Linked DNA regions of Callithrix jacchus. The protein of the gene in region 2 binds, or shares a complex with, the protein of the main gene of each other region. Links are inferred from orthologs where the notes say so. Each region holds a gene or a part of one and is shown on either strand. Other genes may lie near its edges. The genes, in order: TNNC2 and TNNI2.

Region 1 (8,039 bases), on a different chromosome or scaffold from region 2:
TTCCCTGGTGGGGACCCGGTGGAGCGGAGTCTCCCAGGCCTTAGGGATGCGTGATCTTGGTAGAGGTGACTGTCCACTCCTTATTGCACACCCTCCATCATCTTCAGGAACTCTGCGGGAAAGGAGAGGGAGCGGGTCACAGGTCCCACCTGGGGATGCAAAGGTCAGGCCAGGGCTCCAGTCATTCAGAGGGGATGACTTTTTTGTTTGTTTTGAGACGGAGTCTAGCTGGAGTGTAACCCAGGCTGGAGTGGAGTGGCAAAATCTCAGCTCACTGCAACCTCCGCCTCCCAAGTTCAAGCGATTCTCCTGCCTCAGCCTCCCGAGTAGCTGAGACTACAGGTGCATGCCACCAGGCCCGGCTATTTTTTTGTATTTTAGTAGAGATGGGGTTTCACCATGTTAGCCAGGATGGTCTCAATCTCCTGACCTCATGATCCACCCACCTCTGCCTCTGAAACTGCTGGGATTACAGGCCTGAGCCACTGCACCCGGCCTTGTTTTTTGTTTTTGTTGAGACAGGGTCTCACTCTGTTGCCAAGGTCTGTCACCAAGGCCTGTCGCCCAGCCTAGAGTGCAGTGGCACAATCACTGCAGCCTGGACCTCCTGGGCTCAAGTGATCCTCTCACCTCAGCCCCTGGAGCAACTGGGATCACAGGAGACCCCTGGCTTTTTATTTTATTTTTGTAAAGACAGGGTCTCACTATGTTGCCCAGGCTTGTCTCAAACTCCTGTCCTCAAGTAATCCTCCCGGCTCGTCCTCCCAACGCGCTAGGATTTTACAGGCCTGAGCCATCGCGCCCTGCTGCCTGGTCGTTAACTGATAAACTGCACGGAGTCGTGGAGCACTTCTATACCAACACTTAGGAGGAACTTGGTGAGGTGACGCCCAGCCCCGCCCACAAGGCCAGCGACAGCGCACGGGAGCCAGTGGCACCAGTACCCGCTGCCCCTGTGGCTCCCACCCTCTCTCCCAAGCTGCCGCGGCCCTCACCATCGAAGTCAATGCGGCCATCGTTGTTCTTGTCCCCGTCTTTCATCAGAGATTCGATCTCTTCGTCCGTCACATGCTCTCCAGAGGCCCTGAAAATCTCAGCCAGCTCCTCCGCGTCGATGTAGCCGTCTGCGTTCCTTCGAGTCCGAGGGATAGGGGAGGGCTCAGGACCGGGGCGAGTTGCCCTGGTTACGCTCGACACCCCGTCCCCACACCCCCAACCCGGGAACCTTCCGGCGCCACCGGTCGGGCTCTGACTGCTCGGCCCCTCCCTTGGCTCCCAGGCCTCCAGCACACCTGTCGAAGATGCGGAAGCACTCGGCCAGCTCCTCCTCACTCTTCCCCTTTGCATCCTCTTTCATCTGGCGCACCATCATGACCAAGAACTCCTCGAAGTCAATGGTGCCGCTGCCTGCGGGGAGCAGGTGGTGGACTGAGCCTGAGCCCGGCCGCCGCTGCCTCTCCCCACCATCCCCTGCCTCCGAGGGCCAGCCGCTCACCGTCCTCATCCACCTCCTCGATGATGGCGTCCAGCTCCTCCTTGGTGGGTGTCTGGCCCAGCATCCTCATCACGGTGCCCAACTCCTTGACGCTGATGTCCCCACCACCATCAGCATCAAACATGTCAAAGGCAGCCTTGAACTCTGCGAGGGAGAGCAGAGGGCAGAGGTGAGGATCGCTGGACTGTCAGCCTCACACCTACCCCCCAACCCTGCCGGGAGGCCAACTGCTTCCCAGCCTGCCGGCCTCACTCACCAGCGATCATCTCCTCGCTGAGGTAGGACCGGGCCTCAGCCTGCTGGTCAGTCTGCAGGAGACACAGAGAAAAAGTCAGCTGAAGAGGTAACCCTAGAGCAGCACCTCACCTCTACCCCATTCACCCCAACCCCCACTCTGCCAGCGCCCCTTGGTCCTCCAGAAGAACAACTTCAAACTCGTCACATATTTGTGTGCCCCCACAGCACCCAATCAGTTTTGTTTTATTCAGAAGACAAGGTCTCGCTCTGTCACACAGGTTGGATATGTAGTATGATCACAACTCACTGCAGCTTTGACCTCCTGGTCTCAAGTGATCCTCCTGCCTCAGCCTCCTAAGTATCTGGGACTAGTGTACACCATGCCTGGCTAATTTTTTAAATTTTTGGTAGAGATGGGGTCTGACTATATTGCCCAGACTGGCTTAGAACTCCTGGGCTCAAGTGATCCTCCCGCCTCAGCCTCTCAAAGTGCTGGGATTACAGGCTTGAGCCACTGTGTCCAGCTGCTGACCCCCGTTTTTTGTTTTTGTTTGCTTGAGACAGAGTCTCACCCTGTCACCCAGGCTGGAGTGCAATGGCAGGATCTCGGCTCACTGAAACCTCTACCTGCCAGGGTCAAGCAATTCTCCTGCCTCAGCCTCCTAAGTAGCTGGGATTACAGGTGTGTGCCATCATGCCCAGCTGATTTTTGTATTTTTAGTAGAGGCGGGGTTTCACCATGTTGGTCAGGATGGTCTCGAACTCCTGACCTCAGGTGATTTGCTCACCTCAGCTTCCCAAAGTGCTGAGAGCCACCGTGCTCAGCCTGGCACTAGTTTTGAGAAAAAGAGAGGAGACAGCAAATTAAGCCCAAGGCCTTCTCACTTGTCAATTGAAGGCCAAGTCAGGAATCCCCCCAGTGACCTTAGGCAAGTCACTTAGTGTGCCTTCATCTCTTCTCTGTAGCTTTTCAGGGATGAGATATCAGGGGTGTGAAAGGGCTTTGTAAAAGGCTAGCACCATTCCAGCAGTATTTTCCAGTTTTCTCTAGCTCCTAATGGTGCTCAGTACTTTAATAGTTGCTCAATAAAATGTTTGTTCTCAGATAAATAATAATGCAACACAAGCCGCGCACAATGGCTCACCCTGTAATCCCAGCACTTTGGGAGGCTGAGGCAGGTGGATCAGGAGGTCAGGAGTTTGAGACCAGCCTGGCCAACATAGTGAAACCCCGTCTCTACTAAAATTACACAGAATTAGCCGAACGTGGTGGCGGGCACCTGTAATCCCAACTACTCAGGAGGCTGAGGCTGGAGAATCACTTGAACCTGGGAGTCAGAGGTTGCAATGAGCTGAGAGCACGCCATTGCACTCCAGCCCTGTCGATAGTGTGAGACTTCAACTCAAAAAAAAAAAAAAAAAGGACACAAAGTTATTGAGCACTTGCTGCATGTCAGGCCACAGATCAGGCACTGGGACCACCAAGAAGAGACCGAGGATACATCCTCCTGCCCCTCAGAGAACTGGCGGAGTCGCAGATCAGCTTCCTTCTTAGGATTCAGTCATTGGAGAAAAGGCCTCTCATATTGGGCAGAATGTGAGGGGGGCCTTGACATGAAAGTGAGATTTCTGTGGGGGCTTCCAGGTCATATCCAAGCCAGACCATCTGGGTCGGAGGCTTTGGGCTGAAGCTGGCAGTAAGGATGGGGTGAGGCTTCCAAGGAGCTCTTCAGCCGGCTGGCCGCTGGCCCTCCTCCTTCTCCCCCTCCTTACTCTCTTCTTCTTTCCCTGTGCCAGGAGGGCAGGCTATTTTTAGTCAGGCATGGGCAACAGCAGCTGGCCTCTGGGATCTAGTTACTCCTTGAGGTGAAGTGAGGAGGGGATTCTCAGACGAAAACCACAGCACCAACTCAGAACCCCCTCTAGGAGAGCAGGGTTTCTCTAATTCTGGTCTGTCATCTTCTGTCTCTTCCCATCGTCCTCAGGGGTCCCGGAGCCCCTGTATCTGAGTGGGCCCCACGCCCTGCAGGCCTCTCATCTTCTGGAGGAGCCTTTCTTCTCTCCATGATGGTAGGAGGGTTTGGCCAGGAGTCTGGCTCACCCCTGCCACTGGCTTGCTGGGTAACTCACTCTGACCCCTCAGGGTCCCCACTATGTGAAAGAAACATAGCTAAGAGCTCTTCACAGGTCTATGAATGACAGTGCTGGAAGTTTCCAAAGGTGCATAGGCAGTCAGCAAGCCTTGACCATCAATCTCTGGAACACCCCAGCCCTCCCCTTCCAAGAAAAGTCAAAGGCCTTCCTCCAAGACACCTGGGTTCCAGGAACCTCCATGCTCCAACCTCACACATCCAAGTTACTGCCCCACAGAGCACCCATGCCTGGCCTCAAAGATGTCCAGAGTGTTCCCGTGAGTGAAGCCGCAATCCCTTCTTGTCCTTACCATGGTTGCTGGTGACCGGGTCTCCTCTGCTGCAGGTCACCTCCTTTGCACTCCACCACCCAAAGATGCCCTGGCCTGCTCTAGCCCCTGGGATTTGTAGGGGCACCCTCCCCTCCCACCTCCCTGCTCCCCAGCACTGGATGCCCTACCCAATCAGATCCTGGTGTCAGTGAGCCCCACCCCACCAAAGGTCTGAACCCATTACCTAATTTAGCCAAGGGCCCTTGCAGAGAAATTTAAGCCTCCGAGCAGGTGGCAGGCCTTGACGTCCCAGATTCTTGTGAGGAAGGCCCGCCCTGTTCCACCGCCTTGGAGTCCCCCTGCTCTCCCCCTCTCACCAGGGAAGCACACTGGCTCCAAGATGGTAAGGACAATCAGAGTAGTAAAGAGTGAGGCAGCACAGTAAAATGAGGAGAGTACAAGCCTTGAAGTCCAAAACCCAACATTCAAGGCCGGCCTCTGTGAGCTGTGTGACCTTGGGCAGGTCGAAATGCCTCTCTGAGTCATTTCCTCGTCTGTAGGATGGACCTCTCTGTGCAGTCTCCCTCACAGAGAAACCACGGTAAATGGGAACCCAGGTATAAGTCACCTAGCTTAGGCCAGGTATACAGGGTTAGTGCTTGGCAAGAGGAATGTCCTGTCTTTGAACCATGGTGAGGGGTAGGGGATAGAAGGAGGAGAAAGTGACAGCTAGGCCACTGTTTACTGAACCTCCATGACGTGCCATACACTGTGCTAAGTATTTTAACATGATCTCATCTAGTGCTCCTCCTATGAGATAGCAACTATTATTATCCCCATTTGACTGCAGAGCTTTATAAATCATAAAGGTCTATACTTGCTCTGTCACCAAGGCTAGTGTGCAATAGTGCTGTTACAGCTCACTGCAGCCTCAGTCTCCTGGGCTCAAGTGATCCTCCCACCTCAGCCTCCCGAGTAGCTGTGACTAGAGGTGCACTACCATCCCTGGTTTTTTGTTGTTGTCTGTTTTGTTTTATTTTTGTATTTTTTGTAGAGATGAGGTTTCACCATGTTGACCATGCTGGTCTCGAACTCCTGGGCTGAAGGGATCCTTCCACTTTGGCCTCCCAAACTGCTAGAATTATAGTCATGAGACACCATGCCCACCCATGTTGATGATTCTTCTTTTTCTTCTTTTTTTTTTTTTTTTTGAGACGGAGTTTTGCTGTTGTTACCCAGACTGGAGTGCAATGGCACAATCTTGGCTCATCACAACCTCCTCCTTCTGGGTTCAAGCAATTCTCCTGCCTCAGCCTCCCAAGTAGCTGGGACTACAGGCGTGCACCACCATGCCCAGCTAATTTTTGTATTTTAAGTAGAGACGGGGTTTCACCTTGTTGACCAGGATGGTCTCGATCTCTTGACCTCATAATCCACCCACCTCGGCCTCCCAAAGTGCTGGGATTATAGGCGTGAGCCACCGCGCCTGGCCCTCTTCGTATTATTTTTTGAGATGGAGTCTCGTTCTGTCGCGAGGCTGGAGTACAGTGGTGCGATCTCGGCTCACTGCAACCTCCACCTCCTGGGTTCAAGCAATTCCCCTGCCTCAGCCTCCCAAATAGCTGGGACTACAGGTGCATGCCACCACGCCCAGCTAATTTTTTTGTATTTTAGTAGAAACGGGGTTTCACCATGTTGGCCAGGATGGTCTCCATCTCCTGACCTCTTGATCTGACCACCTTGGCTTCCCAAAGTGCTGGGATTATAGGCGTGAACCACCACGCCTAGCCCAAATGATTCTTATTATGAATTCCGACTGGAGGAAAGTTGGGACACTGTCCTTTGGGTACCTGTGCAGATAGAAAAGTGTATGGAGGGGAGGGATGGAGGAGAGGAGGATGTGCATTTGGAGGAGAAATGATCATTGAAAGCAAACACCCTTCTTTCAAAGTTACCTTCTCCAGGGAAAGGTGGTTTGGATTCACTTTTAGGGGTGGCGAGTTGGCAGGGGAAGGTTCTTTAAGTGGTAAAAGGGCAGCTGGCCCCTTCCTAGAGCTCAGTGAAGAAATCTGGTCATCTAGGGAGTAAAGGGGTGGGCAGATCAAGTCCAGAGGGATCCCACCCTCAGAATCCACGAGGTGCATACTAGGCACTGGGGAGTAAGGCAAGGCTTGTGGACAGTAGCTACGTCGACAGAAAGAGCACCAAGACAACCGATAGCAGGCTCCAGGGCCAGGAAAGCGGGGCTGGACACCAAGGAAGACAGATGGACAGTGGCAACTGGGCTTCCCCTATATATAGACATTCCCAAGGAAAGTTCAGCAGGGCCATGCCAAGCTAGATAAGGCCTCCCCAGGCAGGCAGGGAGCCAAAGGGTGAGACCCATGGGATTCCAATTCCAATTTGGTTATTTTTGCTTTTTGGGTTTTGTTTTTGAAATAGAGTCTCACTCTGTCACCCAGGCTGGAGTGCAGTGGCACAATCTTGGCTCACTGCAACCTCCACCTCCTGGGTTCAAGTGATTCTCATACCTCAGCCTTTTGAGTAGCCGGGATTACAGACACATACCACCACACCTGGCTAATTTTTTTTTGAGATGAAGTCTTGCTCTTGTTGCCCACGCTGGAATGCAATGGTGCAATCTGAGCTCACCACATCTGCCTCCCAGGTTCAAGTGATTCTCCTGCCTCAGCCTCCCGAGTAGCTGGGATTATAGGCATGTACCACCACGCCCAGCTAATTTTGTATTTCATGTAGAAACAGTGTTTCTCCATGTTGGTCAGGCTGGTCTCAAACTCCTAACCTCGGGTGATCCACCCGCCTTTGCCTCCCAAAGTGCTGGGATTATAGGCATGAGCCACTGTGCCCAGCCAATTTTTGCATTTTTCATAGAGACAAGCCTTCATCATGTTGGCCAGGCTGGTCTCGAACTCCTGACCTCACTCAAGTGATCCTCCAGCCTCCCAAATTCCTGAATGTGGCCAAGCAAGGTCCCACTGGCCCTTCTAATCTCCCTGCTCCTCCCCTCCACATTGTGTTGCTGTCTGTTCTGGTCAGACTTTAAAATACTACTCTAAACACCACCTTTTACGAACCTTCAGGCCTTTGCATATGCTGGTCTTTTCTGCCAGAAACTCCCATATTCCCTCCCTTCATCTGTCTACTTCCCTATCATCTTTCTCAGCTCTAGCGTCACTTCCTAGGAGATCCTTCCTCCCCTATGTCCAGGCTGGGGAGTCCAAGGTGGTCTCCAGTAGTTTCCTCAATCAGAGCACTGAGCATGCCTTATGATCACCACCCATTCTATGTTTCATAGACCATCATATTTTCCAGTACTCAGCACTTGCCACATAGCAGGTGTTCAACAGATATTATATTCTACATAAGAATAACTGGGCCAGGCATGGTGTCTCACACCTGTAATCCAAGCACTTTGGGAGGCCAAGGCAGGCACATCACCTGAGGTCAGGAGTTGGAGACCAACCTGATCAACATGGAGAAACCCTGTCTCTACCAAAAATACACAATTAGCTGGACGTGGTGGCACATGCTTATAATCCCAGCTACTCGGGAGGCTGAAGCAGGAGAATCACTTGAACCTGGGAAGCAGAGGTTGCAGCGAGCTGAGATCGCACCATTGCACTCCAGCCTGGGCAACAAGAGTGAAACTCCGTCTCAGAAAAAAAAAGAAAAGAGGAAAGAATAAAAGAATAACTGAACTGGATGGTATTTAGTTCAGTATAAGGGGGAACTTCCTAATAGTCATAGTTGAAAATGGGAACAGGCAGCCTCAGAAGGTAATGAGCTCCCTGTAGCTAAGTATATGCAAGCAGTAGATAGATGACCATTTCTCAGGGAGGCTGCAGGAGATATCCATACAGAGTTTAAAAATGGGAACAGTAG
Region 2 (8,081 bases):
ATGGCCAGGCCCCGCCACCACTTGTGCATGTGCCCGCCTGCCTGGATCTGTGCCGGGCACACCCCGGCCTGCAGCACCCCTTGTCCTCCATCAGGCTCAGCTGAGGCTCGGCCTTGAGCAGTGTCTCCCCCACAGGCCAGGTCTCAAGCCACACTTCTGTGCCCCATGACCCCCTCCACCCCGGGCTGCGCCCATCATCACGGTGTGGGGCACCCTGCACCTCTGCCCCAGCTACACCCACCAGGCTGTGCACCCCTGGCCCCAAGCTGTGCTGCTTCACGCTAGTGGCCTGGCCTTCCCCTACAGGGGGCTCCAGGAGAAGGCCCGGGTGGGGGTTCAGCCTGGCGTGGGGCTTCAGTTGCGGTAAAGGTCAGAGCTGAATGCCAGGGCTGGAGGATGCCTGCGGGGCGGGGGACGGTACACAGCCAAGGCCATCCCGGGCGCCCGTTGACGTCAGTCCTCAAGGCAGCCAGAGGCGGAACTGCCGATGTACGTCCTACCTCCGGCAGATCAATCAGCAGGACCTCCAGAGGGCAAGGGCAGAGCGCGGGCTGGCGTCTCCTCAGCGAAGATCTGAGCAGAGGGACCTTGGCGTGCCTGCTCTGGTAGCCTTCGAAGAGCGCAACTGATAACAAGGCAGCCTTGCTGTCACCAGCCTTGTCAGAGCCTGTCAGAGCCCTGTCCTTGGTGGCCAGTTGGGGCTAGGGTCTTGGGGCAGAGTGGAAAGGAGAGTTGGGGCCACACTGGGGCCTGGTTGGGGTCGCTGGTGGGCACAAGTCTCTTGGTTCCCTGGTGTGGTGAAGAGTGACACAGCCTATCTTTCAGGGTGGCAGTAAGGACGAGAGACCAGGCCGGTCTCTGATCCCTAGCCCGAGATCCCATGCTGATCCCTAGCCTGTGCTGATCCCTAGCCCGAGATCCCGTGGCCCACTTTGCAGGTGCACCCCTCCACGTTCTCCAAGTGGGTGGATTCCCCTGCAGGGCCTTCCCGGACTCACCTCCTTGCTGGAAGCAGCCTCCCTCCCAAGCCGAAACCCTCAGGCCCCGTGCAGCCTCCTCCCAGGCTTTCCCCACTGGCCACTGACCATACCGCAGGCCACCGAGACCGGGGCCCAGAGCACAGCCAATGAGGCTGGGGAGAGCCAGACCAGACCAGCCAAGGGGATTCAGATCCTTTATTGACAGTGGACACAAGGCCAGCCCTCCACGGCAGGCTCTGGGTGCGTGCCCCCGGTGTGCTCTGCTGGGAGCTGGGCCCCGGGCAGGCGTGGGCTGACGAGGAGCCTAGGACTCCGACTCGAACATCTTCTTCCGACCCTCCATGCCCGACTTCTCCTCGATGTTCTTCCTCCAGTCACCCACGTCTCGCAGGTCCCGCTCCTGGGGGTGGGGGCAGGAGAGAGCTCAGGCGCACCCTGGTCCACACCACCTTCAGCCTCAGGTTCCCCTCTGCATTGGGCTGTAGAGTGCCCTGGAGGGGCAGTGGTGCAGGGCACCCGGCAGGGCAGTGTGCTTTTGGGACCCATAGCAGGGTGAGTGTGGGAGGTGCTCCCCAGGGACAAGGCAGGTGTGGGAGGTGCTCCCCAGGGACAAGGCGGGTGTGGGAGGTGCTCCCCAGGGAGAGGGTGGGCGTGGGTGGTGCTCCCCAGGGAGAGGGTGGGCGTGGGTGGTGCTCTCCAGGGAGAGGGTGGGTGTAGGTGGTGCTCCCCAGGGAGAGGGTGGGCATGGGTGGTGCTCCCCAGGGAGAGGGTGGGCGTGGGTGGTGCTCCCCAGGGAGAGGGTGGGCGTGGGTGGTGCTCCCCAGGGAGAGGGTGGGCGTGGGTGGTGCTCTCCAGGGAGAGGGTGGGTGTAGGTGGTGCTCCCCAGGGAGAGGGTGGGCATGGGTGGTGCTCCCCAGGGAGAGGGTGGGCGTGGGTGGTGCTCCCCAGGGAGAGGGTGGGTGTGGGTGGTGCTCCCCAGGGAGAGGGTGGGTGTGGGTGGTGCTCCCCCAGCAGGGTGGGCATGGGTGGTGCTCCCCAGGGAGAGGGTGGGTGTGGGTGGTGCTCCCCAGGGAGAGGGTGGGCATGGGTGGTGCTCCCCAGGGAGAGGGTGGGTGTGGGTGGTGCTCCCCAGGGAGAGGGTGGGCATGGGTGGTGCTCCCCAGGGAGAGGGTGGGTGTAGGTGGTGCTCCCCAGGGAGAGGGTGGGCATGGGTGGTGCTCCCCAGGGAGAGGGTGGGTGTAGGTGGTGCTCCCCAGGGAGAGGGTGGGCATGGGTGGTGCTCCCCAGGGAGAGGGTGGGCATGGGTGGTGCTCCCCCAGCAGGGTGGGCGTGGGTGGTGCTCCCCGTGGCACGCACCTTCTCTGTGTCCTCCTTCTTGACCTGCTTGAGGTTGGCCCTCAGGTCCATGCACACCTTGTGCTTGGAGCCCAGCAGGGCCTTGAGCATGGCGTCGGCCGACATGCGCACCCTCCGCAGTGGGGGCCGCTTGAACTTGCCCCGCAGATCGAACAGCTTCTGGTTCATGTCCTCCAGCTGTGGGCACGGGAGCCAGGTGAGGACCCGAGGTCCCAGTGGCCTCAGCTCCCTGCCCCTGCCAGTCCGCCCACCCGCCTTGGGGGCCGCTGCCCATCCCCGTCACTCACCTCCTTGCTGCTCTTCTGCACCCTCACCTCCATGTCGTACTTCTCCTCTTCAGCCGTGTCAATCTTGGCGTGCAGCTGTTTGCAGAGCTCCTAGGGGTGGGCGTGGGGGCGGGTGGCCATCCTGACACTTTGCAGCCACGGTCACCGGCCCCTGCCCTGACCACCCGGCTGGCCCTCTTGACAAGTGGGGAAACCGAGGCAGCAGGCAGGCCGGCTGCGGGGGGTTGGCAGTACCTGCACTTCGGACATGGAGCCCGGGATGTGCAGTGGTGGGCAGTGCTCCGCCAGGTAGTTCTGCTTCTCGGCCTCGCGGCGGCTCTCCTCCTTCTCCAGCTCCGTGGCCGCGATCTGGAGCATCACGCTCTGCGGCGGGGCAGGTGGTGAGGGGCTGGGCTGGCTCTCCCCGCAGACCCACCCGGACAGCCCCCCAGGTGCCCACACCTACCTTCAGGTGCTGTCTGCGGGCCGTGATGGCCCTGTTCCGCTTCTGCATGGCAGGGACAGGGGACAGAGTCAGGACTTCCGGGCCTGGACCCCCCCGACCCCGTTCCACACTCCCTGGCCAGGTCGGGGGCTCCTGCCCAGGGACCAGCGGAGCCTGGGGGCTCCCGAGACCATGATGGGGAGGCCCAGCCTCCCCGGGCCCAGACCTCGCTCTGGGACAGGGCGCTGTGTGGTGCATGACACTTTGCCCAGGTGGCACATAGTGCTGGGGGGCAGGGGCTGGGGGAGAGGAGTCAGGCCACAGGGCCGGTCTGGGGCAGGTTGGCTGGCAAGGTTGGGGCGGGAAGTGCAGGAATCAGAAAGAAGAAGTGATTCCCTGTGACCAGGCCACAGCCACACTTGCCCTGGCCAGAAGGCACGGCGCAGCCACTTCCTCTCTTGGTGGGTGGGTGGGGCACTTTTTGCCAGCAGGGAGGGCAGGGGCCATCTTCCCTGAGTCTCAGGGCCTTGAGGCTGCAACGTGTGACCTATCCTGAGTGGGGGAGCCCCTTCCCACCATGCTTTGTGCCCCCAGCAAGTACTTACCTCCTCACTGTCCAGGGAGGGAGAACACAGGCCGGGCAGGGAGAGAAGAGAGAGGTTAGGGCCATGGCCGTCAGGGTGGGATTCGTGATGGGGTGGACGGGGCGGGAGGCGGCAGGGGCACTGTGTGGGGGTACACTTACTCTCCCATCCTGAGGTCCTGAGCTTGGAGCCTGCGGGGAGAGGAAGGCAGAGGTGTCGCCCGGGCCTGGCTACCACGACGCCTTCGCCCAGCAGCTGGTAAAGGGTGCAGGCCTCCCCTGACGCCCCCCTCCCACCCCACCCCTTACTGTGACCCCCTTCAAGGACAACGTCTTGGAATTCCCCAGGGTGAGAAGTAAGAGGAGAAAGTGTTCCCAAAATGTCCCAGGCATAGCCTGAGGAGCTGCAGCTGTCCCTGAGGGTGGGGGACGGGCCAGCGCAGGTGGCCGCCTGAGTGACGCTGTTATTTTTAACCCTCCATCTTTGGCTCCTCAGTGTGGCCCGGGGGCTCAGGTTCGGGGGTTTCTTGACTCCAAAACTCTCCTTCCAGGGTCCCCAGAGGTGAAGCCTGGTCGTCGGGGCCTGTCTAAGACCTGCCTCCAGCCAGAGCTGCCTCCCCAAGCCTCTCCCTGTCATTCCCCGGTCTGCGGAGGCCCCCAAAGGGGGCTGCTGGTGGCACCCTCGACCCCCAGACCCCTGCCTCAGGGAGTCCTCCCTCAAGCTAGCTCAAGCCATGCCCTGTCCCCCAGCCTCGGCAGGCCAGGCTGGGCCTCACCTAGAGTCTGGGCAGCAGGGCTGGGCGTGAGGTCAGGCCGGTGGTGGCGAGTTGGGATGGTGGGCCCAGGGGGAGGGGTATAAATGGCCTCCCCCAGGCTGGGCCCCTGCTCAGAAAGGGCATGGAGTCCTCCTCAGACCAATGGGGGCGAGGAAGCCACAGAGACCTCCCCACCTGTCCGGCCTCCTGGCCTGGCCGCGTGCTGCCACCCAGTCCAAGAAGTCTTGATGGGGCACCGCGGCTGGGCGGCTCTATTTAGGGCTCGGTGACGTGCTGGAGACGCCTCTGCGGTTCTTGTAAGGGGCCTGAGGACACTGGTGCCTGGCTCTGCCTGTGGCATCGGCCGGGCACACGGCTCAGGTCAGCCGAGGGGTCACCCTTCAAGGATGTGCACCTCACCCCACCTCGCCCGAGGTCAGCGTCCAGCTCGCCGACCGGGCTGCCCGCTGGGTTCAGCCACAGCCTCTCTGCTGGGCCCGCTCCCCCACCGGGCCCCTGCGGTGGGCCGTTCCCCGCTTCAGCCCACGCCTGACCCCCTTCTGCAAGCCTGGCTCCTGGGGTGAGGCCTCCCGGGCCCTGCCACAGCGGCCAAGGGCTGGGGGCTGCCCCCTCCCCGCGTGAAGCCGGCTTCCTGCCTGGGGAGCAGGACTGGGACTGAGGGGCTTGCTGTACGTGCACTGGGCCCCTCCCAGCCTGCCTGGAACGCCTGGCCACAGTCCCCTCCGGAGACTTGGAACACATCCTTCAGCCTAAGGAGGGTGGCGCCACCCGCGTTGGGAGCCTTTCTGACCCGAGGGGGCTTGGGGCCCGCCTGGCTGCCCGGGCAGGCCCGGCACTGCCCTTCTCACCCAGGCCCGAGGCCCTCGTTCCCCCCAGCTCCGCAGCCCCCACCCTGCAGAGGCCCCGGGACCGTGACTTGGCACCCTCTCGGAGCGGGGGCTCTTGGCCCCAACCCCATGGGGAGGATCAGAGGAGACAGCAGCGTGGAGGCTCCAGCCGCTAAGGCAGCCCAGATGTGTGGGGGACGGAGAGGGGAAGCGGCCAGGGCGGAGCCCCTAAAGGCCTCAGCGGCTTCCGAAGGCATCTGCTGCCCCCTGCTGTTCACACGGGGAAGGCCCGGCCGAGCTGTGTCCTGCAAGGCTGCCTTCCGCCCGCCCCATCCCAGCTGGCCTGACTCTCTGGACCCTACCTCCCCGTCTTCCCAGGGGGCCCAGGAGGTGACGGCAGGGGCAGGGTGAAGGGCCGGGGGAGGGGGGCACAGATCTGTGCTCCTGGGGAGGTTCCTCACCCCTACCCGGAGGTCCAGCAGGGCTGGGTCAGAGGCCTCAGGGCCTGGCTGAGCCTGGAGAGGAGCCCCTCCCCCATCCTTGTGGGGGACCCTGGTGAGTGGAGCCGGGCCCTGTGTCTGCGTCCCCTGGGGCTCCAGCTGGACACACAGTGGCAGGAGAAGGCGTTTATTGCAGTGGTCCTGCAGGGCAGCCTGGGCAAGTGGCCGGGCTCAGCGGGGAGACCCAGGCCCATGGTGTGTTCCCAAGCGGGGCAGGGGCAGGCGCAGGCGGGGCTGCAGAGCCAGCGCTTGGTCCACCTCCATGACTGGCCGCAGGGGGTGCCACTGGACGACGGGCTGCCGGGCGTGGGCCAGCATGTCCGCCCAGTGCTGCAGGGGCTGCCCCGAGGCCCGGGCACCCAGATGCACCTTGCCCACGGCCTCGGCCCGGAGCTGCGGGCCACGGTCCCAGATGGTCAGCACCAGGTCCACATTCTGTACAGAGACAAGCCACGGGGCGGGGTTGGGGGACAAAGACTGGTCAGCACGGTCTGGCACTGGGTCCTGATCTGACCCTGCCTCCCAGCAGCCCACCTGGACCTGGCTGAAGGGCACCAGGAAGGTGAAGGCCTCGTTGAAGTAGGGGGCAGCTGTGCCCTTTTTGCCAACTGTCTTCCTCTTCTTCCACTTCCTCTGGTTCAGCATGAGCTGGACCTTCACGTAGGGCTCTGGGCAGGCAAGAGGGGCCGGAGGTGGAGACGCTGACCCGGGCTGGGGCTGTGCACAGGGTCCCACCTTTGTACACCAGCATGGGCACATGTGACCCTCACCTGCCAGTCCTGGACGCAGGCCTCGGGCTTCCAGCACCACCACGGTTAGACGGCCTGAGCCGGGCACGTACCGGAGGGAGCATCACAGCTCCCCCACCTGCTCGGGCTGCGGGCAGTGAGAGGGCTTCAGCTCCGGAGGGCCCCTCTGGCCAAGCTGGGGTTCAGGCCCCCACAGCTGCTGCCCGTCAGGCCTCAGTCCCTCCCATGTCCCACAGGGCAGGGTCCCTGCCAGCTCTGCCCTGGGCTGCGGGAGGGTCTGTGGCCTGGTGATTCGTGCCTCACCTCAGTGGCAGCCGGTGGGCCCAGGGGGTACCAGTGCTCCAGAACATGCTGCAGATCCACGGTGCCCAGTGGCAGGCGGAGCTCACCCAGGGGCTCGTGCCCCGAGAAGCGCCTGAAGTGGAAAAGCTGCACCTGCAGGGTGGCCCTTGGCAGCTCCGCCTGCGGGACCTGAGGCAGCGGTGTCAGCCAGGCCCTCTGCCCCAGCCTAGCGCCCCCAGCCGCCCAGCCGCCCAGCCCTGACTCACGTGGAAGCAGCAGGTCTCATCAAACACGGGGCAGAGCGTGCCTCGGTGCACCTTTGTCTCGTGCCTGTGCCCAGCCTGGGTGGAGACCCTGAGCCGGGCATAGGGGTCCACGGTGCCCCCGGGCCTCAGGTCGGCTGCCTGCCTCAGGCCCACCCTGATCTGAGAGCCAGGGGAGTGGGCTCAGCCAAGGGGCCTGCCCTGTCGGCTCCCCACCACCCAGGGCACAGGCTTGGCCCTTCACCCATCACCCTTTCCGGAAACTTGCAGAACCGGCGGCCCTTCACCTCCTGCCTTCCAAAGTCGTACTCCAGGGAGAGCTGCAGGCGCCCCCATTGCTGAGCGGCCGCCGGGCTGGATTGCAGACTCTCCACATCCGGCTGCACCTGGTGGGTCCGGACATGGGCCAGCTGCTGCTGCCGCCAATGCCCCATCGGAGCCCTGGGCTCCCGGGAAGCACTTGCAGGACATGGGTCAAGACCCCCACCTCTGGGCAGGCCACCCGGCAGGCACAAACCCTCAGCTTCGCTCTGTGAGACCCACCAAACCCACCAAATGTGGTATCTGTTTACCCCGGCTTTCCTCAAGAACCTGCTGTGGCTCCCTCTGGCCCACCGAGCCGCCCCTCTCATGCTGCCTCCTCCTCACCTCTATTCACCCACCTTCCCTACCAGGAAGGCCCTCGTCACCCCTGTTTCGAGGGGAGTAAAGTGTCCCTGGGGCTGAGGCCACTTAGCTGTCCTGGGCTCTGGAGCCTGGATTTCCAGCTGCCCTCTCTGGACTGATCGGGAGAGGAGCCGCTCCTCACCAGGTGTGTGGTGGTGGTGCCCTGGGCACTGCCCAGGCCCACGGCCTCCTTGTCTCTGGGCTTCTTCCTGTGGCAGCGGCAGCAGCAGCAGACAGCACAGAGGAGGCCCGAGATGAGGAGGACACCCGAGGCAAAGGCACCAGCAGTGACAGCCCAGTTGGGCCCTGGGGTGGAGGCCAGGCTCAGCGCATTGGGGGACAGCTGCAGCCCCCACTTGGCTGGCTATCCCCACACCCCTCTTGGGAG

What was found.
Region 1: the proteins of TNNI2 (region 2) and TNNC2 are in contact, whole or in part, in a crystal structure (PDB 1A2X), measured with the Oryctolagus cuniculus proteins. The link is inferred for Callithrix jacchus from reciprocal best matches to the Homo sapiens genes TNNI2 and TNNC2. Residues at the interface, in NP_001076252.1 of Oryctolagus cuniculus: Glu5, Asn8, Arg9, Ile11, Thr12, Arg14, Arg15, Gln16, His17, Leu18, Lys19, Ser20, Val21, Met22, Leu23, Ile25, Ala26, Glu29, Leu30, Glu33; in NP_001076114.1 of Oryctolagus cuniculus: Ser13, Glu15, Met16, Ala18, Glu19, Ala22, Lys91, Leu96, Glu98, Cys99, Arg101, Ile102, Phe103, Arg105, Ile119, Phe120, Ala122, Ser123, Glu125, His126, Val127, Glu131, Ser134, Leu135, Asp138, Phe152, Met155, Met156, Val159, Gln160.

The regions. Positions count from the first base shown.
Region 1 is NC_133506.1:41,064,409-41,072,447, forward strand, and holds the start of TNNC2 (troponin C, skeletal muscle), read right to left. Parts: upstream 4,243-8,039; 5' UTR 4,179-4,242; coding exon 4,176-4,178; intron 1,804-4,175; coding exon 1,752-1,803; intron 1,640-1,751; coding exon 1,496-1,639; intron 1,408-1,495; coding exon 1,293-1,407; intron 1,133-1,292; coding exon 996-1,132; intron 113-995; coding exon 81-112; 3' UTR 1-80. UniProt on the Homo sapiens protein: Troponin is the central regulatory protein of striated muscle contraction. Tn consists of three components: Tn-I which is the inhibitor of actomyosin ATPase, Tn-T which contains the binding site for tropomyosin and Tn-C.
Region 2 is NC_133511.1:130,046,146-130,054,226, forward strand, and holds TNNI2 (troponin I, fast skeletal muscle), read right to left. Parts: upstream 4,636-8,081; 5' UTR 4,581-4,635; intron 3,823-4,580; 5' UTR 3,793-3,822; intron 3,660-3,792; 5' UTR 3,306-3,659; coding exon 3,069-3,305; intron 2,987-3,068; coding exon 2,858-2,986; intron 2,714-2,857; coding exon 2,624-2,713; intron 2,514-2,623; coding exon 2,337-2,513; intron 1,381-2,336; coding exon 1,285-1,380; 3' UTR 1,161-1,284; downstream 1-1,160. UniProt on the Homo sapiens protein: Troponin I is the inhibitory subunit of troponin, the thin filament regulatory complex which confers calcium-sensitivity to striated muscle actomyosin ATPase activity.